4 linked regions of the Notamacropus eugenii genome follow. The protein of the gene in region 3 purifies or fractionates together with the protein of the main gene of each other region. This does not show direct contact. Links are inferred from orthologs where the notes say so. Each region holds a gene or a part of one and is shown on either strand. Other genes may lie near its edges. The genes, in order: PKMYT1, SCAPER, CCNA2 and PHF8.

What was found.
Region 1: the proteins of CCNA2 (region 3) and PKMYT1 purify together in Homo sapiens (affinity purification with mass spectrometry; 3 studies listed by BioGRID and IntAct, counting the BioPlex papers as one, with this or other methods). This does not show direct contact. The link is inferred for Notamacropus eugenii from reciprocal best matches to the Homo sapiens genes CCNA2 and PKMYT1.
Region 2: the proteins of CCNA2 (region 3) and SCAPER purify together in Homo sapiens (affinity purification with mass spectrometry; 3 studies listed by BioGRID and IntAct, counting the BioPlex papers as one, with this or other methods). This does not show direct contact. The link is inferred for Notamacropus eugenii from reciprocal best matches to the Homo sapiens genes CCNA2 and SCAPER.
Region 4: the proteins of CCNA2 (region 3) and PHF8 purify together in Homo sapiens (affinity purification with mass spectrometry; 3 studies listed by BioGRID and IntAct, counting the BioPlex papers as one, with this or other methods). This does not show direct contact. The link is inferred for Notamacropus eugenii from reciprocal best matches to the Homo sapiens genes CCNA2 and PHF8.

What each region holds. Positions count from the first base shown.
Region 1 is NC_092872.1:56,510,794-56,517,744, reverse strand, and holds the start of PKMYT1 (membrane-associated tyrosine- and threonine-specific cdc2-inhibitory kinase), read left to right. Parts: upstream 1-3,936; 5' UTR 3,937-4,161; exon of another isoform or gene 4,162-4,238; intron 4,239-4,846; exon of another isoform or gene 4,847-5,003; intron 5,004-5,802; 5' UTR 5,803-5,819; coding exon 5,820-6,170; intron 6,171-6,951. UniProt on the Homo sapiens protein: Acts as a negative regulator of entry into mitosis (G2 to M transition) by phosphorylation of the CDK1 kinase specifically when CDK1 is complexed to cyclins. Mediates phosphorylation of CDK1 predominantly on 'Thr-14'. Also involved in Golgi fragmentation.
Region 2 is NC_092872.1:256,637,515-256,644,467, forward strand, and holds the start of SCAPER (S phase cyclin A-associated protein in the endoplasmic reticulum), read right to left. Parts: upstream 3,014-6,953; 5' UTR 2,922-3,013; intron 1-2,921. UniProt on the Homo sapiens protein: CCNA2/CDK2 regulatory protein that transiently maintains CCNA2 in the cytoplasm.
Region 3 is NC_092878.1:162,622,706-162,629,602, reverse strand, and holds the start of CCNA2 (cyclin-A2), read right to left. Parts: upstream 3,009-6,897; 5' UTR 2,784-3,008; coding exon 2,577-2,783; intron 2,265-2,576; coding exon 2,015-2,264; intron 626-2,014; coding exon 510-625; intron 417-509; coding exon 193-416; intron 1-192. Other genes in the region: BBSome complex member BBS7, read right to left, coding at 4,652-4,785. UniProt on the Homo sapiens protein: Cyclin which controls both the G1/S and the G2/M transition phases of the cell cycle. Functions through the formation of specific serine/threonine protein kinase holoenzyme complexes with the cyclin-dependent protein kinases CDK1 or CDK2.
Region 4 is NC_092879.1:102,520,969-102,527,954, forward strand, and holds the start of PHF8 (histone lysine demethylase PHF8), read right to left. Parts: upstream 3,015-6,986; coding exon 2,821-3,014; intron 1-2,820. UniProt on the Homo sapiens protein: Histone lysine demethylase with selectivity for the di- and monomethyl states that plays a key role cell cycle progression, rDNA transcription and brain development.

The sequences.
Region 1 (6,951 bases), on a different chromosome or scaffold from region 3:
GAGAGTACTCCACCTATAAAGGGGGTGCTGAAACATGTCTAATCCCCACATATGAAAAGAACTGTCAGATATAGTAGGCTTCCTCCTCTTTATGTAATACAGAGCCACATGCCCTTCTTCCTTGGCCTAGGTTCCTTTCAATTTGGTTGAGGGCTTAATGATGCAAAACTATGTGTACATAATGTTTCAAAAGTCTATTTTAGAACTTCAGCTTGTATTTTACCCCTACTCAGATGTTTAAGCTTTGGGAAAATCTCCAAATTTAGCTCATGTCTTGTTTCCCATTACTAATTTTATCTCTTTGTGTGATCCAAAGACAAAAAATACTCAAATTATAGTTTAAGTATATTTACTGAAAGATAAAATACAGTAATGAGATTTCCCAGATAGCTGCTCCATTTCCCCAATAAAAAGCATACCATTTCTTTAGTAACTCCTGTGCTGTAACCCATTAATAGTTTGAATTTTCCCTGTTCACAGTAAAAGTCTGAAGGGGAAGATGAACCGAATCAGCTCAGCAAAATCTGCTTCAGCTTCCATCGCCAGCAATCACAAACTCAAGATGCAGGCATGCCACCCCGTCAATAGAGCTTCCCAGGCTGTTGTCATTACTTGGCCCTCGGTGACCAATTTACTTATTTGACTCGGCTTCAGCAGGTCTCTCTCCAAAGTTCTTAGGCTCTAGAGAGAGTCTGCTACCACTCAAGATAAGTCCCTCTCAAGTTGTTTCATTGGTACTCTGCTGTGACTGTCCTTATAGTTCTTCATGGCTTTCTTACTAAGCAATTTGTCTTTTAGAAGTGGCTCATTTCAGGTGACAAGTCACTATATTCTCATTCTGCTTCTGTAGTGCACAGTTCTGAAGGTAAGGGGAAGAACTGGGGAAGTGGAAGGAAAGATCGAACCTTGTAAATATTGATAACATCCCAAAGGGCAATTGACAAGCTGGAGAAAGATGACTAGAATGATGATGAGAATAGAAACCATGACACATGAAGCTAGTTGAAGAAAACAAGCTTAGCTGGCTTATTTTGTAGAGGAAACTTTTTGGGGTACAAGTTGGACTAGATGTAACCCCAGGTCACTTTCAGTTCTTCCTGTTAATGAAAGATACCAGTACTTAAAGGGCATTCATGGGGATCAAAGATTAGACTTCTACTTGGCTCCAGAGGGCAGAAATAAATACACTATGACCAGGTGGGATTTATGCCAGGAATGCAGGACTGGCTCAATATTAGGAAAACTATGAGAATAACTGACCATATCAATACCACAATTAAGAGAAATCACATGATTATCTCAATCGATGCCAGAAAAAGCTTTTGACAAAAAACAGCACCCACTCCTATTAAAAACACTAGAGAGCACAGGAATAAATGGAGTTTTCCTTAAAATGATTAGCATCCATCTCAAACCATCAGCAGCAAGCATTATACATAATGAGGATAAGCTAGAAGTATTTCCAATAAGATGAGGAGTGAAACAAGGATATCCATTATCACCACTGTTATTCAATAATTGTATTAGAAATGTTAGCTTTAGCAATAAGGTAAGGAAAATAAATTGAAAGAATTAAAATAGGCAATGAGGAAACAAAGCTATCACTCTTTGCACTCTTTGCAGATGATATGATAGTGTACTTAGAGAATCCTAGAGAATCAATTAAAAAACTACTTGAAATAATTAACAACTTTAGCAAAATTGCATGATATAAAATATACCCAAATAAATCACTGGCATTTCTATATATTACCAACATGACCCAGCAGCAAGAGATGGAGAAATTCCATTTAAATAACTGTAGACAATATAAAATATTTGGAAGTCTACCTGACAAGAAAAATCCAGGAACTATATGAACATGAAGGGCAGAAATAGGAGCAATAGGGTGGAGGTTGAAGAGTGGAAGATTTAAGTTTGGTATTAAAAAAACTTCTTAACAATTAAACCTACACAAAATGGGAAATAGGGTGCCTTAGGGTGGGTGGAGGAGTAAGGAGTCCCCCTCTCTGGAAGTCTTCAAGGAGAGTCTGGATAATAATAATTAATAAGCTATTAAAGCTTTAATTACTTAAAGCTGCATGAGGACTTTTGGGGATACCCTTTATAATATCATTGGGGCAGCTAGGTGATGAAGCGGATATAGTATCAAGGTCTGGAGTCCAGATAGCTTCCTGAGTTGAAAATCTGGCCTTAGTAGCTGTGCGACTGTGGGCAAGTCACTTAACCCTGCTTGCCTCAGTTTCTTCATCTGTAAAATGAGCTGGAGAAGGAAATGGCAAACCACTCCACTATCTTTGCCGTAAAAGCCCCAAATGGGGTCATGAAGTCAAACAAGAATGAAAAGCAACTCAACAATTACAGTATCTTTAAAGTATACAAATTACATGTGTGTGTACATACGCATGTATGTATGTATACACACATATACAATTTCATTTGAGCTTCACAGTAACCCAGTGAGTACTGCAAGCATGATTAAATCCTTTCACAGATTGAAAACTTGTACTTAGAAAAGGTAAATAATTTGCTCATGATGACACAGTGTTAGCTGAGGTGATAGATTTGAAGCCTTACTTCCTCATACTCTAAACCCATTTTATACACACTGTGCCAGGTCAGATGACTGCTTTTGCTTGTTATATTGCAGAAGGCATGGTCATCTGGACATAAGTTTGATTAGATGACTTTTGAGGTCTCTTCTAATTCTGAGCTTCTGTGATTCTTGGGCACGAGAGGAGACAAGACAGAGGCGAAGGACAGGTAATGACCGACCTATCTTGGGGTGCCACAGAGAAGTCCTTTGTCTTTCCTTTTCAATGCAGCCTACCATCACTGATTGTCCCATTGACATCTCTGGATCTTTTTGCATTTCTTCCTGTGTGACCCTTCTTTAAGTATGAATGTCCCCATTCCCAAAATGAGGTCGGTTGGCTTAGATCATTAAGATAACCGATTACAGATCATTGATAAACTGAAAAGTATCCAGAGGAGGGCCACTGGGACTATGCAGAGCCTGAAACAACGCCCTATGAAGACTGGTTGAAGGAATTAGGAATGTCAAGCCTGGAGAAGAATTCCAGGAGAAAAGGATACATGTGTTCAAGTATTTGAAGGCTGCCATGTGGAAGACAGAGATTAGATATATTGTTTGGTCCTAGAAGGGCATTTACAGTATGCCAGGCCTCTAGTTAAGTGGTTTACAAATATTACTGGGAGGGAGGTGATATTATTGTCCCCATTTTACAGATGAGGGAACCGAGGCAAACAGAGGTTAAGTGACTTGCCCAAGGTCACACGGCTAGTAAGTGTCTGAGGCCGGACTTGACCTCGGGAAGATGAATGTTCCTCCAACTCCATCCACTGGCCTACCTAGCTGCCTCTGGCCAGGAGGGTGGGACTGGGAACAATGGGATGGAAGGTGCAAAGAGCCAGATTCAAGCTTGATGTCAGGTCAAACTTCTTAATGCTTACAGAGATGTTCCCCTCGGGATACAGCTGGCTCCCCTTCATCCTAGGTCTTCAAGTACAGCCCGGATGACCACTGCTCAGGTTCTGTGGAGATTCTCTTTCCCGTGTGGACTGGACTGGATAGCAAGCTTTTACATCCCAGGATTCCTTCCGGCTCAGACTTTCGGGAGTTCTCGCCCGGGAGAGGGAGGCTGCGGGACAGCCACGTGCAGCGTCCAGCCAAGTACCTGCGGAGCTGGTTCCACGGTGGGTGGGGCCGGGAGGGGCGGGGCTTCTCAGCTGGAAGGCCCGCCCCGCGGCTTCACTGACGTCGCCCAGGGAGCGAGTAGGCGGGGCCTAGCGCCTCACCCGGCTACGTGTGGAGATACGTGATGGGGACGGGCTAGAAGCGGCGCCACTTATTGGTGAATCCATCATGAGGAGGCGGGGCTAAAGGCATTCCTGGGCGGAGCCCACGAGACTCATTTGGAATTTTTGGCGCGAGAAGGCGCCGCGCGCGCGCATGGGACCCTTCCAGTTCCACCGACCCCTCCGCGCGCTGGAGTCTTTGGAACCGGCCGACGTCTGGACCCTCCCCTCCCCTGCCTTGTCCCTCCTCCCTCCCCCACTGCGCGGGACCCTGAAGGCTGGCCCCGTGCCGAACCGGCTCATCCGGGGCACCCGGAGCAGGAGCCCGAGCCCCACCTGGTGGTGAGCGTCTGACCCCTGACCCTGAGGAGACCCCTGACCTTCGGTAACAGCCCCAGCCCTGGCCTCCCGAGCTCCAGGTACCGCGGGCTCGCCCCTCTCAGAGCCCGCCCTCAGCCCCTCCTTCAGAGCCTAGTCCCCTCGCTGACAACCCTGGCCATCCGGTCTTCCCTCTGCCCCGCCCCCCAAGCCCCTTCCCCTCCTAGATCGCTCTTCGTCCCCCAGTCTCCCGGCCCCGCCCCTCCCTGGCTGCTCTTCCTCCCTCGGCCCCTCCTCTTCCCTTCCCTCTCTTGAGCAGCCCTCCTTCGGGGGCCCCCAACCCTTCCCTGGCCCGACAGCCTCTCCCCTTCTCCTCCTACTCGGCCCCTGCCCTGCCCTTCACTCCCTGACGGACCATCCCTTGGTCTTACCCTCCCCTCCCCACACTCCTCCCTCCTCCTGCTTCCTCCTCCTCTGGCCGCCCTTCCCCTTCCAGGATCTTTCCTTGACCCGAGCCCCTTTTTCCCACCCTGGGTAACAGGCACCCTGTTCCCTTCCGTTCTCACTCTCCTCCTTCGTGGACCCCGAAACTCAGTCTCCTCGTTTCCAGTAGCAGCTTCCCTGGCCCCCGCACTCCTTTCCAGTAGTAACCCTGGGCCCCCGAATGACGGGCATTCCCGCCTCCCGCCCCGGCAGCCGATGCACCAAACCCGGCCCGTTTTGTGAACTCTTGTTGTTTTCTGAGGAATGTGTCCCCTGTAGCCACCTCCTTTTGGCTGGACGTGTGTAGCATTTGGTTTGCCAGGATGTCCAAGGTCTAGAAGGGACACAGGAGGAGTGTGGTGGAGTCCGGCTCCTTTGACATGGTAGCCAGGGAGCTGGGACTTGTAATTCCTAGAGGAGAGGAGGGAGTGACTGGTTCTGAAGCCGTTCTGAGCAGGCCTAACTGAGGGTTATCCTGTGCTGTTTGGGCTTATTTTGTTGTGCCTGTGTGTTCTGGGAGGATTTCTTTCTTCAATGCAAGCTGCCCTGTCCTGTGATCCAGGCCTTCTGCTTGCTTTCAATTTAGCAAAACATTTACTCCAAGTAGTTACTATGTTCAAAAATTGGTCCTTGTCCTTGGGGATACAAAAAAGGTGGCTGACACATTCCAACAGAAGCTTGCAATCTGGTCAGGGGATAAGACACATACACAGATATCTATATGTTGGAATGTGATTAAGTGGATAGGAGGGGTCAGATAGAATGACAGGAGAGATTTAGGGTAGGTTGCAATCATTTCTAGCTGGGAGATGGGGGAAATTATCATGAAGAAAAGGACCGCTTGAGTTGGGTCTTGAAAGAATGGAAGAATTTCCACATGTAGAGATGTGTAGAGGTTGCATTCTGAGGGATTGAGGGCAGCATGGGCTGAGGAGAATATATTGAATATAATAATATTGAAGAATGATGAATAGTCCAGGAATGTAGAATGCCAGAAGGGTTATATAATGAGAAATGACTGGAAATGTAAGTTGGTGCCAGATTGTGGAAAGTGTTGAGGGCTAAAATAATTTAATCCTAATTCTATAAACAATGAGAAGACTGAAGTTTTGTCATTTGTGAGCTATTTCTTATGACAATTTAACCTACTCTTAGTAGTTACTGACTTCCTTTGTTTTGTAGGGTCTCCTTTGCTGGTCATGCCAGTCCCAACAGAAGGGACCCCTCCACCCCTCAGTGGTACTCCTGTGCCTGTTCCTGCCTACTTTCGTCATGCTGAGCCTGGCTTCTCTCTTAAGAGGCCTGGGGGCCTGAACAGAAGCCTACCACCACGGCCTCCTGCCAAAGGGAGTGGTTCTGTTAGTCGCTTCTTTCCCCCTAGAACTCCAGGCTGGAGCCAGCCCAGACCCAGAGGAGTTTCATTTCGAGGTGGGCCCCCAGGAGCATTGCAGAGCCGTGGCTATGACCCAGACCGGCCTGAGTCTTTCTTTCAGCAGAGTTTCCAGAGACTTGGGCGATTGGGACGGGGTTCCTTTGGGGAAGTCTTCAAGGTGAGTGGAGAGATGGGGATTCCTTGGTCCCATAATTAAATTCCACCTCTTTTCTTCTGATCAGTTCTTTCAAGGAAGCCAGTTATGTCTCTACTTAGAGCCCCATCTCCTAATAAAGGTTCTAGCCTTGTGTTGCAGGTCTCAAAGTCTTCTGCTTGGAAATAGCTTTTTCAAATGAAATTGATACACTGTTCTTGATTTTGTATCCAGAGCTTTTTCCTTTTACTATGTTCAAAAATTTTCTAATGACCCAACTCCAATTGAAACTTAGTCCTGAGTTTCTGGAACTTCCTAATCCCTTCCCCTGTTTGGCTCTGGAAATTTAAAAATCTACTACATACACAGAGTCCCCAAACCACTTCCCCTTCTACTGATGTTCTGCTGATACCATATTTTGGTGCCCATTTCTGACACATACTTCCTTTTTTCCCTTCTCTCCCCTGTTTCCGCATATATCAAAACACAGAATCACATTTTTTAAAGGTTTATTTCAGAAGGACAAGTAAACATTCAAATTCAGAAATAATATGCTTAGAAGTATATGGAATTAACTTCATTTATTAAACACATACTGTATGCAAAGTAATGTGCTAGGCACTGAAGATTTAAAGATTAAAAAACAAACAGTTTCTGTCGTCAAAGATCTGACATTTTACTAGGGTGATATGACATGTACACAGTTAAGTAAAATATGATAGGGAGTGAAAGGGGCAAAGGAGAAATGAGACAAAATAGGAATATTCAAGGAGGGAGAGTACTAATAACTAAGGATAAGGAAGGC
Region 2 (6,953 bases), on a different chromosome or scaffold from region 3:
CACTCCCTCCAGGCTTCCCTGGTTTCCTTCAAATTTCAGCTGAATTCTTGCCTTCTATAGGAAGCCTTTACTAATACCTCTTAACTCCAGTGTCTTCCCTTGGTTGATCACTGCCCATTTATCCTTCTATGTTTTTTTTGCACATAGCTGTTTGAATGGCATCTCTCACATCAGACAAGAGTAGGCACCATCATTAATATTTCTTTGCACCCCTAGTGCTTAGCACAAAGCCTGGCACACAGCAGGCACTAAATAAATGTTTAATGAGTTAGCAAACCTTACATCACTGCTTAAATATAAGTTACTGGAGATGTGTTGTTGTTGTTATGAAGGAAGATAAGACACATACACAAAAATAAAATATGAAAAGATGAAAATGGGAAAGGTGCAAAATCCTAAAAGACTTCAGCAGAAGGAAAGTCACTTCTCCAGTTAAAAGCTCCAATGTTCTTAAATTATTACAATCAAGCTTGGTGCCAAAGAGAAGGAAGAAGGCAGCAGTTCCCCTGTGTCTGCTTTGCACAAGTGGGAGAGACTACTGGGGTGGAATACTGCATACACCATGCATTTTTATATAGTGGTTGGTTGTGCTTATCTGGTGTTTGCTTTTCTTTCCATCTTTCTATTCTGTGTTATGAGACTGTTCTCTAGGAAAAGAATGGAATTTGTAGGTAACTAAAAACAAAAGATATCAATAAAAATTTATTTTAAAAATGTAAAAGCTCTTTGGAGACAGGTCCGTGCTGCCCAATCTTGGCATGGGCAGCTCAGGGTCTGGGAACAGTGTCACTTATAATGCCTGTTGACTGTCTTGGGGAGGGGTGTCCATGGAGGCACAAAAGGCACTCTAATCAATGCTCAAAGCTCAACGATGGGAGTAGAGAGAACTGGTCCAGGCAAGGGCTGGCTTTCTATTTTCAGGCACTTCAATCAGCCTGATGAGAGAGAGTTGTTTAGTTCTGTTACTTTATGATTATCCCCTGAACACTTCAAAAGAGCCGTGACTTCATCCAGATAGCAGAATATACTAGCAGATGATCTTCATGACCCCATGGTCAACACTAGGATGACAGACTTCTCCAGACTTCACTAGACCAGTCCTCAGACAACAGTGCATCACCAGATCTGCCACCTTGGAAGGACCTAACAGACTTTACATTCTGCTGTCAAGAGACCAAAGGGAACTCAGGATCCTACCACAATGATAAACTTGGTGGAGGACTCCTTGCAGGCTGCTTTAAGTGGAACAATCAGCAAGTATTTAATAAGTCCCTATTATGTGTTTGCCACTGTGTCCAGTGATATGAAAGAATGCCTAAAAAACATCTCACGATGCCTTGCACATAGGAGTACAGATGCTTGAAAACGTGTGGTAAATGAACTCTCCTAATATTGGTCAAAAGTAAGCTTGAAAAACTTACTCCTTTCTACTCATTTTAACAGAGCTTAAAGCAAATGGTTTTTTATTGGACAGGTGGAGAGGGAGTTTTTTCAGCTTATCATGTCACACAGGAAAACATTTTCAACAAATCAGTTCCTTCAATCATTTTCAAAGCTGTTTCCTACAGGATTACAGGATTTCTTCAGTATTTGTGGGTGGGCAGGAAGGAAGGAAGGAACAAGCATTTATTAAGCACCTACTATGTGACCTGCACTGTACTAAGCAATTTGTTAATCTTCTTTCATTTGACTCATAACAACCTGGGAGGCAGGTACTATTAGGAACCCTATTTTATAGCTGAGGAAAATTAGGTTAAGTAATGCAAAAAGAGGTTCGGGATGATGACCTCAATTAGTTAAAAATAAATCAATGAATATTAAAATACACAAGCACATGCCCACTTCCTGATAGCTGTCGGGGAAGAAAGCTCGAATTCTTCACCACTACGGAGTTATTTGTGCAGAATCCCCGCAGGAGGGTTAGAAGGGTCACCAGGCCCGGACAGGGAGCTGGACTCCGGCCTAGCCGGCCCCTCACTTCAGACTCGGTGGGACACACAGACAGGCCCTGCTTGGCTCTGGTCATCTGGGTCCAGCTGGACCTCCCCCCCTTCCTGGATACACAGGGCAGCCCAGGGCAGGTCAGGGCAAGGGTCATACAAAGCATCCAGGAGAGGGGGCCCATGGGGCAGCCTTGAGCCAGTCACACCCCAATTCACCTCTGGGGGCGGGGAATGGGCTCCCCATCTTACGAGGCCATCACAGGGATTCCCCTGTTCCACGAGCACTTATTAAGCACCTAGGGTGTGCAAAGCACCCGGCCGGGCACAGGGGAGGCAAACACTGAGAACCCACGTGTGGCTTAGGTCTTTGTGGGTGAAGAGAGAGCCGACCTGGGGCCACGGGGACTCGAGTTCAAATCCAGCCTCGGACGCGGCCTAGCCGTGGGACCCTGGGCAAGTCACTTCGCCGCTACCTGCCTCAGTTTTCTCATCTGTAAAATGGGGCCGACGGCGCTCGGCTATCTCCGGGGTGACGGGGGAGGGGGCATGCAAACCTCCGGCGGCGAGGAGGGGTCCGGGGCGTCGGCCAGGCCGCCCCCCGCCCGGGGCTCGGACCTCCAGGAGGCGCAGGGGCATACACGTGGCACTGACAGCAGCGCGCCCCCGCCCCCTCCCCTGCTCGGGGAGGGGGCATCCCCTCGGGCGGGGCTGGGGGGCGCAGAGTGACCCCTCCCTCCATGCCTCCCTTTCTCTCCCCCGTCCGCCACTCCCCCCTCGGCATCGGCCCGGGGGTCTCGGGAGCGGAGCCCGGCCGGCGGCGGGGGCGGGTCCGGGGGGAGGGGAGCATCTCGCCGCCATCTTGTCCCCTCAGCCGCGGGAGGCTGTCACCAGCCGCCTGCCCCGCCCCGCGGCCCCCCAGCCCCACGACCCTCCATCCCGCGCCCCTCCCTGGCCCGCGCGCCCCCGCGGGACACTCACCCCCGGCCCGCCGACCGCCCGCCCGCCTGACTTCCAGCCAGGCTGAACGTCCGGGGCCGCCTCCGAGCGTCCCGCCGGGATGGGGGCGGGGCGAGGACAGGGAGGGGAGGGGAGGGGCGGGGAGAAGGCGGGGCCTCCCGGCGTGCTCACGTGATGTGGTTGCAGTGCGCAGGCGCGGTGGCCTGCTGCGCCCGAGTCTCCGGGGCCGGCTCGCGTGGCGGGCACCGGGGGAGGGGCGGAGCGAACGTGAGCCTGCGCCGGGGAGCCTTGGGCTGGGCTTGGGGTCCGTCCGGGCTCCGGAGCTTCGCGCCTTTCCCTCCCCCTCCCCGTGCCGAGACTGAAACACGTGCCGGGCCAAGCGCGAAGGGGCCCAGCAGGGAGCCCGGAATTAGGAGAGACAGTTTAAAGAAGGAGATCCCGTCAAGTGACGGCAGCAGGCTCTCTGCTAAGGGTCGGGCACACGAAGAAAGACGCTCGCGCTTCCACACGGCCGCGGACAGACGGGATGCTTCCTCGTGTGCGCTGAGCTCAGCAGCCTAGGCTTCTGCCGAGAGCTCTGGGAGGTCAGCGCTGATGGAGCATGGGACAAATACATGCCCGGAGGCTGCGTAGAGCCTGCGTGGATGTATGTATGTACGTATTTAGCCAACTGGAGTCACCTCACCTGAGTGAGTACTGCAAAGACCTTGGCCTAAAGGGCTCCCAGTGCACCCTGGGCCATCTGCAGTCATCCTGATGGATATCTGGTCACTGGATCCAGAGGGCCCTGGAGGAGAAGTGAGGCCGGTGAGCTGCCCAGCCCTCCCTCCCTCAGAACAAAGTCAATTTCAAGTCACGTCATTGCTTCTCTGAAGGCGTGGTCTTCTTGGGCAAGGAAGGACGCACACAGCAACAACTGAGGGAAACCACTGGCCATTAATTTATTGGTTATTTGCTAGCCTAATTAGTAAATTGACTATTAATTATCCCAAAACACTTGTCTCTTGGGCTCTTGTTTCATCTCGGTATATAAAATATGTTTATTTTTACCAGTCAGGAGGGAACCCAATTGCTTCATTCTCTATTAGTTCATATAAGTCTTCTCATGCTTCTCTGAATTCTTCATATACATCATAATATTGTTACATTCATGTTACCAAAACTGTTTAGCCCTTTCCCAAAGGAAAGGAATCCACTTTGTTTTTCATTCTTTTCTAATACACACCAAAGAAAGGTAGTAAAAATATTTGGAAGTATATGAGAGCTTTCCTGTTATAAACTTCTTTTAAAACATTTCTTCTCTAGATTTGCTTCTCCAGGAAAAAACCTGAACCCTTCTTGTAGAGGCCACAGTGTTGGAGAAGGAAAAGCACAATTAGGCTGTTTCAGTAAAGCAAAAATCTGATGGGTTAACAAAAGCTCAATTTGCATCTGGAAGTGACTGTAACAAAATTCTGGAGCTATAATGCAAAGCTGGTGATAAATGGAAAGCCTTGGTGGATAGGAAACATCTGAAAAGGAGATGAGAGTAGCTTTTAGGCTTAAGTCTACTGCATTCCTGAATCTGAGATCATCACCAACATCCCAGAACAGACATTTCATCCCTAAAGAGATGGACCTTTAAAATAGAGTAAATTAGTACTACTAAAATTAGTACCAAAAGAATCATTAATGTTGATCTGTCCTTGGGTAAGGACCTACTTTTCATGCTTCTGTGGATGAGTGCGTTTGATGTGGAGGATTTGAAAAACACAATTATCCACCGTGGCTTGAGTCCCCAGACCCAAATATCTGGGGTGGAAGAAAATTCTCTACTTTATGTCTGAGATACAAACTACCAGAAACACATTTTTAATTAAGTAAATTCAAAGTTTCTCTGCTTAGAGAGCAAAAAAGACAAAGGGATAGAAATCAGTCCTGCCTTTAAAAATTTTTCCCTCACAAGCCATTTTCTATATACAATTTATAGGATTCAAGAGCAAAGTTGAAATTCTCAAACAAAAGAAATAATCCCACAACAAACAAAATATAGTTGCAGTGTTCAGGTAGAATTTCAGGTGACAGTTTTGAAACAATAACAGTCATAACTTTTGGTGTACCCTGGAAAATCAGATTCCCAAAATCATTCAATCCGTCTTTAATCACTGCCTCCAAGCTTTCTTCTTTCAGCTTGGTCAAAGGCAATTCAAGAGATACTTCTGTTAACTGAATTAATCACAGATGTTTTCCTTCTTTTAGTCTGATCTTTACCCTCATCACTTCAGGGAGCAGTTCTTCATTTGGAAACTGTAATAGGAATGATGTAAAAAGGTTTCAATATGGAAACTGGGCATCAAAGTCAAAGAAAGTCTTAGAAGGGTTTATTGTTTGTTGTAGTTTGGGGTGCTGGGAACCCTAAAATGTAAGGGTATGGGGGGGAAATCCTGCCTGGAAAGAATTCAAGCACACAAGCCTTCTTTCAGTCAAAGTAGCAAGGTTTATTTGTAACGCCAATAGGAGCAGGTGAGATTCTTAGCAAATCTGCTACTGTATCATCGATAAAAGTGGGCAAAATTCTTAATGAGTCTGCAAATTTGATGAGGATGGGACTGATACTAACATACAAAAAAGACCTTGAGAAGATTTGGACGGGATTAAAGAGTGGCAAATAGCCTGAGGTGGGCCAGATGCAACAGTGAAAAGATCTAGATGGGATTAAGGAGTATCAAATAAGCTCATTAAGGAATCATGGTGGAATGGGGTGAGACATATGCCTTAGGTGAGATGCCAGGGACTAGGGTCCAGGTCCCATCACCCCATCATTGTTCAGATTAGACTAAGGACTTCAGACTAAAGTGCTGTCCTGATATTATTTTGTAATATTGTAATATTTGCAATAATTGTGATACTTGTGATATTGTAATAGTGGCAGCTAGGTCACCCAATGGATACAGTGCTGGAAGACCTGACTTCAAATTCAGCCTCAGACACTGATTAGCTGTGTGACCTTGGGCAAGTCACTTAACCCTGTTTGCCTCACTTTCCTCATTGATACAATGGAGATCATAATAGCGCCTTCCACAGATATGGTTGTTGTGAGGATCAAATGAGGTAATAATTGTAAAGCACTTAGCACAGTGCACAGCACATAGCAAGTGCTTAATATTTGGATAAAAGAGAGAACAGGGATGCACTTTAGTTAGCTTCCACAATAAAAACTTTTACAATTATTTGAGCTCTAAGGTAACTGGTAATGTGACATGGTAGCTAGAGTACCAGACTGGAAGACAGGAGAAACTGGGATCAAATTCTCCCCCTTAAGCAAATGAGGAAACTGAGGTTTGGGGGAGTGAAGTGATTTGGCCAAATTCATAAAGTTAATGAAGGTCTAGTTCAGGAGGCAAACCTACATCTCTCTTGATGTCAACTATACTCCTTTATATTCTACACCATGACATTTCTCCATGTTATATACGTTTTCTTACACCTGGTACCATGGGCATCACCACCACCAGGAGCAGCAATGGCCAAAGGCATCTGGCTAGATCCCCTTACATTTATACTTCTGTAGGAACATAGACCCTGCAACTTGTCCCCAACAAAGAATTGCACAGTAGAGCATCAGCAGGGAAATGCATGATGAGTTGGTCATCAGGTGAGAGGGAGAGGACAGGTAGACAGCCTGAGTGCTCTGTGAGTATTGTGTCAATGTCAGCAGGAATCAAGGAAGGCTTCTAGCCTGTTGGACTTACGAGATGACTTGGACAAGTGTCACCCATCATGGGCAGAAATGGAGGGGCTGTGATCAGCATCAATGGAGAAAAAAATCCACATGGATTTGAGTACTTGTGTACTGATTAAAATGATGATGATGGTGATGATGCTGATGCTGGTGGTGGTGATGATGATGATGGTGGTAGTGATGATGATGATATTTCATTGATGTAGGTAACTCTGTATAGAAACTCCCTCTACCAATACAGATCCATAACTTATTGTTTTAAGAGACTTCCCTAGGGTCTTCCGGACTTTGAGGCCAGCCCACTATTCTACCCCACTCTCTCTCCTAGATCA
Region 3 (6,897 bases):
CCAACACACTAACATTTTGGAAAAAATGAAAAGTTCTTGCCAGCCCCGTCCCTGTCAGCAGCACAAGTCAGCCTGCTGGCCCGTACATGTAACACCGTCACGCCTGTTCTGCACACCCCTGCAAGCAGGCCTGGTTCCGGAGGTGACCAGTAAGTTGTTTAATCCTGCCTCCCACCCCAGGGGTTGACTTACGAGGCGAGGAGCATGGCAGCCGTCCCCACCAGCTGAAGCTTCCCCCGAAGCACAGACATGGAGGACAGGAACCTGTCAATGTAGTTCACAGCCAAGTGGAGAGTCTCGTTCTGGAGCTTGTACTCTTCCCCCACCTCCACCAGCCAGTCCACCAAAATGGCACGCATGCTGTTGGTGATGTCGGGCTGCTTCTTCATGTAGCCCACCTTGGGCTTACACTTAACCTGGTAAGAGAAGCCAGCAGCTGAGGGTCAGGGCAGCTGGACCCTGTGCGCTGTTCTGACTAGCAAGTCATCCCTTCACAAACTCAGTTTTACCTCCATCTCCCTAAGGTACAGATAGATGTCTTCATGGTAGTCAGGGACTTCATTGACATTTGGTGGCTTTTCCTCCGGTTCCAGCACCACTGACATGTCCATAGTAAGGGGAGATTCTGAGGAAATTTCAGAAGAGACAGAGCAAAGGTTCATTTTAAGTGTTTAAAGGGCAGAAAGTCAGGTGGTTGACCCCAGTCAACCCGTGACCCTGGTAAATGGAATTCATATAAATGCCATCAATCCTCTTTCTGGGCATCTCTAGTAATAACACCGACAACCTGGATTTCAATAGCGCTTTAGCTTTACCAAGGGCTTTCTTCACTTCAGTGAGAATCACCAACATTCCCATTCTCTGAACAAGGAAACTGAGGTTCACAAGTGAAGGCATGCAAGGTCATAGCACTAGCATAAAATCTTACAGACCCCAATGGAACGGACACTATCCTGCTTGGTGAGTGGTTTTTTTGGTTTTTTTTTAAGTTTTCAACATTCACTTCAGTAAGTTTTAAATTTTCTCTCCCTCGCTCCCCTCCCTCCTCCCCAAGACAGCTTGCAATCTGATATGGGCCCTATATATACATTCCTATTAAATATATTTTCACATTAGTCTTTTTGTGTAGAAGAATTAGAATGAATGGGAGAAACCATGAGAAAGAAAAAACAAAAACACAGTGGCTTGGTTTTGTAGTCTGACTTCACAGATCTTTCTCTGGTGTGGAGGGCATTTTCCATCGTGGGTCCTTTGGAAACGTTTTAGGGCCTGGCACTGCTGAGAAGGGCTGTCCATCAAGTCAGTCCCGGCACACGGCCGCTGTCCAGGAGTAATTCTGTCGGGCGGCGTAGCTGACTTCATAGGCAACAACAACAACTGCGCATTTAGGTGGCACCGCGTTAACCACGCTTCACAAACGCTGTCTCCTCCCGTACTCACAACAGCCCTGGGAGCCCCGTGTGGTGGTGATGCCCACCTCACAGCTGAAGACGCCGGAGCTGAGAAGCGAAATGACTTGCCCAGGGTGGCCGAAGGGGCCGGACTTGAACTCGGATCTTCTGCTGCCTCTAGCAATTCTACCGGCTGTATAGCCCTAAGTTCTGTGGGAGCCTCGGGGAAGCCCAGGTGGGAGGAGACCACCCTCCCTGCCCAAGCTCTCCTGTGCGCCCCACGTTTTGGGGGCACTCTGCGCAGCCTGAGCCATGGCAGGCTCCCAACCTCAGCAGGGTCTGGGAACAGACAACTTGGCTCCCAGGGCTGGGCAAGTCCGGCTCTGCCGGCCCCTCCGCGATGCCCACTGCCCCCGCTCCCTGCCCCGGCCCCTCCGGGGTGCCCACTGCCCCCGCTCCCGGCCCCGGCCCCGGCCCCTCCGGGGTGCCCACTGCCCCCGCTCCCGGCCCCGGCCCCTCCGGGGTGCCCACTGCCCCCGCTCCCGGCCCCGGCCCCTCCGGGGTGCCCGCTCCCTGGCCCGGCCCCTCCCCGGTGCCCACCCCACCCCACCCCGCGCCCTTACCGAAGCTGCCGTCCATGGGGTAGTCCAGGGGCACCAGGGGCCTGCGGGCGTCCTGCAGGGACGTGGCGGACTGCAAGGCCAGCGCCTGGTCCTCCAGGTCGTCCTTCCCGGGGCCGGCGGCCTTCTGGCCAGGGCCGGCCTGGGGCTCGTCCACGTGAATGGTGAAAGCGGGCTGCTTGCCGGGGGCGTTCCAGGGCGGGACGGGAGGCTGCTCATCCTGGAGCAGGACATCCCGGAGGGGCGCAGCCACCTGCAAAGGCGGGCGGGCGGGTGACGCCGAGCCCCGGGCACCCCGGGCACCCCGGCCGGCACGGGGCCCCACGCCCCGCGCTTGACAGCTGCCACTTCCTGGGGGGAGGGGAGGCGCCGCGCCGGCTCCCGCAGCGATCCCGCGCAAACGCCGGCACGCCCGAGGGCTCCGAGCTCTCCCGGGGGCCCCCACCCCCCCCGGAGCCCGCGCGCGCTCAGGTCCCGCCCGCGCAGGAACGCGGGGCCTCGGGGGTTCCGCCCGCACCGCCCCCCCCCCCCCCCCGGCCCGCGCCTACCCTGCCCCGCGCCTCACCCTGCGGCTCTTGGACTTCTGCGGGGCCAGGGCGGCCGCCGGCCCGAGGCCGGGGCCCGGGCCCGGGGCCCGCACGTTGGCCCGCAGCACGCCCAGCACGGTGCGCGTCCTGGCGGGCTCGGCGCCGCCGCGCTTGTCCGGGTGCACGTTCTCCTGGTTCTCGTCGGGGCCGGCGGCCCGGGGCCCCGCCGCCGTGTGGCCCAGCATGGCGGGGGGCCAGCCTGCCGGGCCCGGGCCCGCGCTCTCCGCTCCGCTCCGCTCCCCTCCGCTCCCTCCGGGCCCTCGGCGCACTCCGGGCCGGCCGCACCGCGCACCGACACGCGCTAGGCCCCGCGCGGCCGCAGCAGCTCCCGCCTCCAGCCGCTGCCCAGGCCGCGGCCCCGGGCTCTGCTCACCGCGGTTCAAGCGGCCCGCGACTATTGAAATGAGCCAATGGCAGCCGCGGGCGTCGCACGTCAGCGCGCACGCGGGCGGGGGGCGGGCGGAGGGAGGGGAGGGGGGGAGGGAGGGAGGGAGGATGGGGAGAGGGGGAGGGGAGAGGGGAGGGAGGGGAGGAGCTTCCGCCCTGCCCCGCCCCGGCCGCCCCCGGCTGGGGGGGGGGAATGGGGGGGTGCAGGGGCGGGGGAGGACTCTCCGCTGCGGGAGGGGCGCCGGGCACCGAGGCCGAGCCTTCTCCAGGCACGGGGTGGGGGCAGAGGAAGCCGCCCGAGGGGAGCCAGGGCAAGGGCAGCTCCGGGCAGGTGAGGACGGGAAAGCTGTCAGCAATGGCCCGGGAGGGCGCAGCCAGCCCCCTTCCAAGGAGGAATGCCAGCCTCTGAGCCCAGAACAGTTACCCCAGGGCCCCAGCCTGGCCCAGGATGCCTGCCCTCCCCCAAAGAAGCCACGTCTGCGGAACACGCGCCTGCCCCTTGCTGGGGGGCACCTTGGAGAGATTGGGGGCAGCCTAAGACGGCTGGCGGCCCCCACCCCCGCCCAGCGTCCTCCTCGTCTGCCAGGGATGCCCTCTGAAAATGCCTCCGCCCCCAGCAGACTCGAGGTCTTAAATGCCACTTTCAAATTTAAGTAAGCAAACAGGACGGAGGGCGGCCAACCCTGTTCCCAGTTAAATCATTCTCTCACTGTTCACACAAACAAAAATCCCATCCTGGAGAACAACCGTTTGTTTAGCCAGACTGTTATTTTTATTGATTCCTCATAAACTTAAATACGATGATGTTCACTGAAAAGGAATCTAATGTGATCCTACAGCGTATGTGTCCTTTATTCCTCAAAGACTAGAAAAGGGTACCTGGCCGATGACTGGCAAGAAGATTCCCTCCTTCCCTCACCTTTGCAGCATCACTCCGTACCTCCCCTATGGCTTGTGAGCCAAGTCACAGAGCCAGTCCTTGTTCTCCATGGCTGGGCACAGCCGGGGTGCCACCTCTCACATGGGGGCCATCAGACCCACCAGCTTTATTATTTAGCATAACCAGAGCCATTACTGAAACAATAATCAGAAGACCAAGGGCATTACCTATACAAAGAAATCATGGTGGATCTAACGGGAGACACGTGGATTAGGAGCCAGACACTAGCTATGGGATCTGGAACAAGTCCTGTAAAGTGAGACCGTGCCAGTTCTCAGAGTATATTCCCATGATACTAGATCTCTTTCTCTCATGGTGCCTGACTCAGTTCCCTCATTGTACAGTGAGGATAATAATAACGATCCATTGTACCTTCTGAGGATGTCATAAGGATCAGATGGGAATACACGTGAAAGCATGTTTGAAACCATGGAACCAACTCTCCTGCCATATTGGAATGTTATTACTTTCAAAACATCCATATTCAAAGAAGAGGACATCAGTAAGTAAGTCATCTTCACAACTCTCAAAATTAGCTTTTTTTTTTTGACAAAGTAAAAAAATTGTCATTTTTTTTTAACGAACCATCTCACCAAAAATACAATTTCCTGAAAATGTCAGGACGACATCCAGACGATCCATCTGCGATGGAGTCCAAACTGTGTAAACATGTCATCAATCTAATCTGGGACCCACTTGACATGCTGGGCCATTCCGATGCACAGTTTAAGCAGCATCAAAGAAAGCCATGAGGGCACTTTGGTCGTAACTGTCCAGAATCTCCAGCAGAAGAGGGACTTTGCTCTTCACATTGGTGCCTTTGAACTTGAACTTATCGATGAAGAGGTCAGTGATCATGCCTGAAAGAGGAATGCTCATGTTCAGCCATTAGCTTTCACGACCCAAGACAACACGTTTTCCTAGAGATGAATAAGCCACTCAAAATGGCCTTTTTAAGGATCCCTCACCTTTCTTATTTGTCCAGACTTGGGATTTCATCATTGAAATCACAGAAGAGTCAGTCACTGTTCTTAAAAATATTGAGTATAAGAAACCCAACTTGTAGGACAGAGGTCTCTAAAAATTTTATATTTAGTCACAGAGATGATTGATTGGGAGGCCACTGGAATTTCCCAAGCACGGGAGAGTGACATGGCCAGTGCTGCATTTTAGGAAGCTCACTGGGGGATGAATGGAGGAGACTTGAGGCAGGCAGTCCCACAAGAAGGCCACCAAAATAATCCAGAGGTGAGCTGAGAAGGGCCAGCCCCAGTGTGTGTGTGTGGGGGGGGGGGGGGGAGGGGGGAACAGCAGTATCAGAAGAGAAAGAGGAATAAGGGAGAGGATTGGATATAGGGACCTGAGGGAGTGAGGGTGACATGGAGGCTGGGAGCCTGGGTGACCTGAGAAAAGAGAAGGAAGGAGCAGGAACAGTGGGGAAAAGAAAGTGAGCTTGGTTTGGTACATGTTGAGTTGTTCAAGATGTCCAACAGGCAGTCGGTGGGGAGACACTGGAGGTGAGCAGAGAGGGTGGGCCTGGAGAGTCATCAGCACAGAGACACTGCTTCCACAGAGCTTGAGAGGCGACCAAGTGCAACAGTACAGAGGGAGAACAGGAGAGGGCTCAGGACAGAGGCCGGGATCTGGGGGAGATCTAGCAAAGGAGATGGAGCCAGGAAGAAGGAAAGCCAGGAGAGGAGACTGACAGCCTGCTCCATGAAGACTGAAGAAAGGCCATCAGATCTGACAGTCAGAGGGCTGGCAGTGACTCCAAACCAGCCACTGCCCTCAGCATCCTCACCCAGCCTCACCAGCGGCCTGGGTCCCAGGGCCCTGCCATCCAATTATCCTGTACCTGTTTTGTACAGACCTAAATCTGGGCACATTGTCCCCCAGGTGGAGCATTAAGGCCTCCAGGGCAGGGACTGCTCTGCTTCTGTCTCGGGTGGCCCAGCGCTGAGCACATGGCAGGTACACAAATGCTGGTTTCTTCTTACTTCCCAGCAACTGTCTGGGCCTAGCCCAACCCTGGGCCCGGGAGGCTCCCAGCAGCTGCTCACATGGGCCCATAGGCCCCTGGGCCTCTTGGACAGCTGCTGCTACCTCTTGGCCTGACTCAGCCCTGAGCTACTCTGCCACACTCATGTGGTCCCTGGTCTGGGCAGGCTGCTGTGACACCCCCAGCTCAGCCTCCACAGCTGCTCAGTCTTTGAAGAGAGGTGGGGACCGAATGGGGAACCCATACAGAGGAACCCCACTGTTCTAGAGTATCAAAGTTTCAGGGTCTAATTCACCGTTATAAGGACTTTAAAAAGGGGACAGAGACAAGCAATTGAATGGCTGCTTTGTTATACAACACTAACAGTGTTGTAGCCTAGTCAGGCTAACTTTTAAAAAATGGAGTTGACTAGTTATTTTGCCACAATGCAGACAACCCCTGACCTTAACCAGATCTCTAGATATACCACTGAAAACCCTGGTTCCCAGCTTGATTTGGTCAGGTTGCTGTTTTACTTTCTGGTTGCATTTAAACACCAGAAGGGAAGGGGCCACCTACTCCCTCTAGCTCTTTTCAGTGTCAAAGCAGCCTGTCCTCATGAGGGCCAGGACCAGGAGGCACAAAGAAGCGCTCACTGAGTGCCCCCTGTTCCAATCATTGTCAGGAGCCTGGGGATACGATGACAAGGCCAGCATCACCACGTCCTCCTCAGATCTGCTCATCATTCTACAGCCACAGGAAATGCTTTACCCAGGGCTAGGGATGGACTTGGTGTGATTTCATTGGCACAGGTAACTCCCAGGTGAGGAAATGCTCTCTACCAATGCAGGCCTCATCAGAAAGGTGCCTCAAGCACTGAAGAGTTAAGTGGCCTGCCCAGGATTCCATGGCAGGACTGGCACCCAGGTCTTCCTGGCTCTGGGGCTAGTTCTCAATCTGGTATGACATGCAATTGTCTCTCTTTGCATAGAGA
Region 4 (6,986 bases), on a different chromosome or scaffold from region 3:
CTCTTTCAGGGATCCCTTCAATCACTTGCCTGCAGGGAATCTCCCCTTTACAGTTCCTACTCAGGTCAAATAGGACCCAGCCTCCATTCAAAGTGCTGGCAAGATGGCCAAAGAAGCAGAGTCAGGGCCACCAGGCACATACACACTTGAGGGAGATGGTGAAGAGGAAGAGATTCTCTCTATGGAGGACAACTGCCAGAGTCCTAGAAATTCCCTCATCTCCACCAGAAATGCTAAGCTGGGGGAGGGAAGCCCCTCTGGTCAAGATAGACACAGAAGAGTCAAGGTATGGCACCAGCAGCAGCCAGAAATGAACCAGACCCATTGGGCATCACCTTCTGAATGACCCTTTGGGCAATCACAGCAGCTGGGGGGGCCTAGGTGAGCTGCCCCCAGCTGTCTAGCTGCCCCCTGGCTCCTAGTGGGGATGTTGGCTCCAGGACCAGAAGGGGCCTGCAGAAAACCGACATGAAAGGCTTGAGCACATCTGCCCCAAGGGCTATGATGGGGCAGTTTGAAGGTTGCAGAGAAAAGTAGGTGGAAAGGCCCTCTTCAAGGACATACCACTGAAGTGTGGGGGCCAGCACTGTGCTTAAGTGGGGAGTCACATGGGGGAGGGGGAGTTGGGCCCTATCAGGCTTCCCCTGAAGGCCAGCACCCAGCTTTTAATGGCTCTGCCCGAATCATTTTATCATTCTAGATTCACAGCAATGGTCCCCAGGTGTTTCAAGGGTCAGCTAAAAATAGATTAGGCAGCTGGGTGGCACCATAGAGCATAAATTGTCAGGTCTGGAGTCAGGGAGACTCATCTTCCTGAGTTCAAATCTGGCCTCGGACACTTCCTAGTTGGGTGACCCTGGGCAAGTCACCCTGTTTGCCTCAGTTTCCTCTTCTGTAAAATGAGGTGGTGAAGGAAATGGCAAACTAGTGCAGTATCTCTGCCAATGAGGTCATGAAGACTCAGGTCTGACTGAAAACAACTGCAGAACCACCACCACAAATGGATCCCTGTGTAGGAGTTAAATGCAGCACTCTTCCCCGGCCTTTTTCCAGGTTGGCCCTTTGAGAAGCACCTTCTTTTGAATTTTGCTCTCTCCTGGGCCATGTCCACTGCACTGGCCACAATCTCCTTTCCCCATCATGATCCCTTGATAATCCAGTCCAACTCTGGAGATTCTCCTCTCTCAAATCTCTCACCCCTTTATATTACCCATCATGCTCAGCCCTCCCTTGGCCTTGGATCACTCTTGCTGTCCGTTCCCTCCACAGGGGCTGCTGCATGAAGGTGGGGAAAACTGAGTTACTGTTCTGACTGGGTCAGACTGTTACATGTCACCTGAGCTCTCACTGCTGTTAGGCAGTCCTACCATATGGGCCTCACTCACTGGTCCCAAAACCTTTTCCTCCCTCCTGAAACCTCCCATTTCCTATCCCCTTATCCCCCTCCTGCAGCTGAAAACCATGCCTCATAGCTTACAGAATCAATTGGGGTCACTCACTGAGAGCTGCACCTTCTCCCCATCTCCTATCCCTCAGGTGCCCTCTGCCCCACAGCCTCCCTCACCTGTCTCACACAAAGAGGTGGCCTTAGTCCTTACCAAGACCCGGCCCTCCCCTTCCAGTGTGGCACCTCTCTGTCAGCCCTGCTCCCTTCACATCTTCAAGCACTCCCTATCTCCTGGCTCCTTCCCTCTATCTCTCACATATCCACTATTTTTTCAGAACTCCTCAAACTCACAATAGCTGCCTCTACTTTGTATCCTCACACTATCTTCTTGACCTTTTATAACCCAGCTTTCAACTACATTGTTTCACTGTTAACTGTTCTAAAGTTGCCAGTGATCTCTTAGTTGTCAGATCCAAAAGTCTCTTCTCATTTTGACTCCTCTGTGGCCTCCGTCTCCCCCTAGATTGAAAGACCATCTCTCTGGAGGCAGAGGATTCTCCCATCTCCCTTTCCTGCCCCAGCCTCCCTGCTGACCTCCTAGCATCTCCATCTGCCTCCCAAACCTCTCCAATTGGATGTCCAGTGGGCGCCTGAAACTCCACAAGTCTAAAACAGAACTCACCATCTTTCCCCCTCAACCTTTCCCCATCTCCTACCTTCCCAGCCGTTGGTGTTTGTCCTTGTTTTTGTAGAAGACCAACATGTTACACCACAATGTTGGAGTTAGCCTATAGGGTGTTTGCGAACCCCATCCTCCCCTACTACTGTAGAGATCAATGCCACCCTCTCATGCCCCAGGCTGATGACCCAGGTCTTGTCCCAGACTTCTCTCACCACCATATCCACTGTCTCCTCTGCCCCTGCCCCCGACCCTGGTACAGGCCTGGACCATGGCGGGTCTCTCCCCACCTAAGTTCATTCAGCCACCAAAGCAATCTTCCTAAAGTGGTTCTGACCATGTCCCCCACCCCTCCATTCCAGCGGCTCCCTATGGCCTCTGGCAAACGCTCTGTTTTGGGGTTCCAAGTCCTTCCCAAGTCCTGGCCCCCCGCTCCTCTGATTCTCCGGGGCGCTCCCCTTCATCAGGCTCGGCTCCGATCCCATTCTCCATTCATCCGGCATCGGTCTTGTTTACAAGTTATCCTGGAGCCCAGAGCCGAGCACACAGCAGGTGCTCAATGGATGCTGGCCCCAAGGACTGGAGGGTACTCCGTGGGGAGCCCTCACTGGGAAAGACAATGACGGGGCATCTGTGCCCTGGGCCCCGCCCCCACCGGGCAACAAGGGCAACAGGTGCCCAGCGGAGGGAGGCCCCCCAGGGTAGGAAGGCCGGGAGAAGGGGAGGGCGCGGGGGGGGGGGGGGGGGCGCTCACCTGCCGTGGAACCAGTCCTGGCACAGGTCGCACTCGATCATGAAGCGGGTCACGTCGTAGGGCAGCCGGCACAGGCAGTAGACCGGCGGGGAAGCCATCTTGGCCCGCGCCTGGGCCCGCGCCTCAGCCCGCTCCTGGGCCCGCGCCCCCCGCGGGGGGCAGGGCTGGCCGCCGGAGGCCGGCGGCGCGGACATGGGCGGCGCGGCCTGGGGCCCGGGGGGGACGGGCGGGCGGCGGAGCCGGGCCCGGGAGCCGGGCTGCGGACGACAGCGGCTGGAGCGGCGGCGGCAGCGGCGGTGGGAGCAGTCGCAGCGCGGGGGGCGAGTAGCGAGCACGAGCGCGGGCGCGAGCGCGGGCACGGGCGCTCTCCCCGCCCCCCGCTGGGCGACGTCACGTTACGTCACGTCGACGACGGAGCCGGGCCTGACTCCCCGGCGGCCTTCCGGCTCGGTCACGCGCGGCGGCGGCGACCGCGACCACCACGACGAGGACGGCGACCACGACCAGGACGGCGGCCACGATCACGGCAGCGGCGGCGGCGGCGAAGAGGACCACGGCGGCGGCCGCCCCGCCCTCAGGTCCCGCCCCCTTCCAGCCCCTCCTCCCAGGAGGGCGGGGCCTCGGACCAGCTTCCGGATCTAGCCCCGCCCCCTGGCCGCCGATGCCTCCGCCTCGGCCCTTCGGCTCCCACTTCTTGCCGCCGCGGAACGGAGGCCGGGCTGGTGCGTGTCGCCCAATAAACTTTATTCAAAATCTTCAGGAGGTGGGAGCGAGAGAGGAGGGGACGGCCGCGCGAGGGATGCTACAAGACGCCATGTTGAGCGAGGCGTGAATCAATCCGGCCTGCGCCATCAGGGGCGTGGCGGAAAGGTCCGCACCTCCGGAGCGCCGGCTAGCGCAGGCGCAGCTCGCCCCGCCCCCGCCCCCCCGGCGTGGACTGGGCTCCCCGCCCCGCCCTTCCCCAGGCACTGACCCCGACTGCTCCCCGAGGCGGGGCCGACGGAGTGCCGGAGAGAAGCAAAGGCAGACCCTTGGGAATTGAGACTTTTCCTAAAAGACTAAACGTTTCTTAAAGGGCGCAGCAGCCGGAGCGTTCTGAGCATCCCGAGGCCGAGCAGGGGGCGGGGCGGGGGGCGGGGCAGTGGGGACCAGCGCATTCTCACGAGCCCAGCCATCTAGAACTGTGGCCGTTCCACCAACCGAGGCCGCAAAGAGCTCTGGGAGAAAGAGGAACAAACCAGGTGGTCATTGCGCGTGAAACGGAACGGAAGGCCGCGCAACGAGAGGCCAATTGCTGTCACCTGCCTCTGGGGCTTCTTCCTCCTTCCCCGCCCCCCTCGGCCTTTGTCACTGGGACCCAATCTGGGCGGCAGACACCAAAGATGGCGATAATGCCACCAGAAGTCTGGTGCCGGGGCACGCGGGGCTCGGCCCACTGAAGGGTTCAGAGTACCAGGCTTCATACAGGCCTGAACAATCTAAAAGTGTGTGTGTGTGCGCGCGCGCGTGTGTGTGTGTGTGTGCGCTCTTGCACTGTTCACCCTGGGAAAGAACTCCATAACCAAAAAAAACTTGGCACAGGAAATGAACAAGGTCTTGCCACAGCATGAAAATGCCACCCTGCCAAGGATGAGTCAAGCTCTCTCTACCTCTTAGCCTGATTCATTATTACAGAGAGATGCAAGTAAACCTAGTATCCCAATCCTCCACATTTAGAAAAAGCTCCAGCTGGACAAAGTGACATCTGTCAGGAAACTGGGCATCCCTGAGCTTTGAAGCTGGGCTTATGGCATTCTTTGGCCAAACAGTTGACTAGATTCCCACTAGGTTTGTGGAGCTTTAGACATCAGTAACTTGACATTTCCCTCAAAAGGAAGTACATAACTCCACACTTAGCAGAGTCTTTCCTGTCTTTCAGCAGGTCAGGGTTTTTAAAGCTCTACTGTGATTCCTGCTAGCTAAAGATCAAGAGAAACCTCACCACCTCCACAATGCAGCAAAAACCCCTCATTTCCCAGTCAAGAGCTAGTCCCCCTGAAACCCCCCTCTCCAGGGCTTCTCACATGTCAAGGAGCCCCTTCCTGGTCAGCAGTGTGAGTGTTCCTCAGTCTTATTTGTACCCTGTTTTTCAATATCTAAAAAACAAAGAGCAAGATAAAGGGAAGCAGGAACTCCAAGTCCCCAGGGAAGTCGCAATGGCAGAAAGTTGGCCAAGAAAGCAGCAGGTGGGAACCTCATGGCTTTCTTCCAGATCAGGAGCCTTCTCAGCACAGAGTGCACTATGGGCAACTTCCTCCTGGTCCCTTATCAATTCCAATCAATTCCACTGAGAGGACAAAGCTGACTGTCCAAGGCAAAAAGACAGGTTTGAAATGGTTTGCAACATTTCCTAAGTGGCTAGAAGTAGCAAACAAGCAATCACCAAAGAGCTGGGGGGCGGGGGGGCAGGCTTCAGTATTCAGTGAAAGGGGGAAGGCAGGCAATGAGAAAGAAACATCCCTCTTAGAAGAAGCTAGTCATTTGGCACACTAGAGGGGAATGTGTTACTTAGGGAGGCTGTGACCAGCCAGGAGATTGGATCACTGAAAAAAGAAACATGAGATCACTCAAGTGTCAAAAGCCTCTCCTTCGGGGCCTGAGAGCTAAACTGAGCCTCATCCAGAAAAACAAAGCTGCCCACAGACGTCCATCAAAGTGGGGCAGTTATCATTCAAGGAGCTGGCACTTGGACTGACCACCAGACCCTCTTCCTAGGGCCCACGTTAGAATTCCTGGAGCCAAACACTAATGAAAAGACTGAAGTGGTACAGTGTCAGTGAACAAATAGCTCCTTGCTCCTGGTGCTAGTTCAGTGGTCCCCATCAATCCACAAACTTGAGGCAGTAACCTATCTCAGCCCTGGCCAACTGGCTGATTCTCCAAGCCCTCCCCTCTCCCCAACCTCTGGGACCCCAGGAAGAAATGTCCATCCTCCAAGCGATCTTCATGTACTAGAAGCTTGCTCCAATGTCAGTGTTTCTCTCTTGAGAAATACCTATCAGAACAGTCTTTGGATGGAACAGCATTTTCCATGTAGCTTGGAGGGAAGGATATAGGGGATGGACTAAGCCTTAGCAGGGTTTCTTGTGAACCCTACCTCTCTGTAACAGTATAAGCATTTCTGGGAAACATGTGAGAGAAGGGAGAGCTCTGGGGCTCTAGATAAAAGGCATGTGTGTAGATATACATGGCCTCCTATGTACAAGATTGGATGTAACCAGAAAGGCACTCAGTCACACATGCAGATACATACTCACATACACCCACAGTCCAATTTTATTATTTTTATTAATTTTTTAGTCCAATTTTAATCTATCCCTTTGTACCCTACTTCTGGGGAAGTTCTCCAGTCTTTCCATTGTACAGGTAATACATCAATTCAGAGGCAGGAATATCTGCCCCAAAGTTGTCAGATTCACTTGAATCCCCTAGTATGAGTACCGAGACCTTTTGTCTTTTGCACAAATGTAAAAAACCAAATTTTAATCATCACTGACCCAACCCCCCACCAAAACCACATAGCTATCTGACTGCCTGAGTTAGAGGCCAGGAGAGAAGCAAGTGAAAAACTGGCTGAAATCAGGATTGAGAACATCTATTTGGATAACCCTAACTGGGTGTCATGCCTATTAAACAGAAGAAAGCTCCTGGGGAGACAAGAAATTCCAAACTGGAACTACTGCCAATGGAGGAAGAATCTCTGACAGCACTTGTGGGACCACCTTGGGCTTGTTTCAAACCCAGGTCCATAGGCCAGAGCAAAAGGGTGACTGGGACCATTCTTACAGCCTGGAATGAGGAAAGGCCTCTTCATCTCAGCTTCTGTAGTCAGATGGAGCCTCTCCTGCTACTTGGCTGCTGTCTCTGGGCTGGCTGTTTACCTGAGGCTGGAGCTGACTCATGATGTGCTCTGGCAGCTTGGACACTCCATCTGCAGAACCGTGAAAAGACACAAAGGCTAAGAAATTGTACTCCTAGGGTTGCAGTTGCAGATGCTTTGGAAACAGGGCAGCTACAATCCAGTGCTGCCATGAACAGAGGGAAACACTTGAGAGTTGACAGTAGCCATGGTTTCTTCAGTATGGATACTCTCTCCACTGAGAATTAAGTCATAGCTCCTCCAAAAC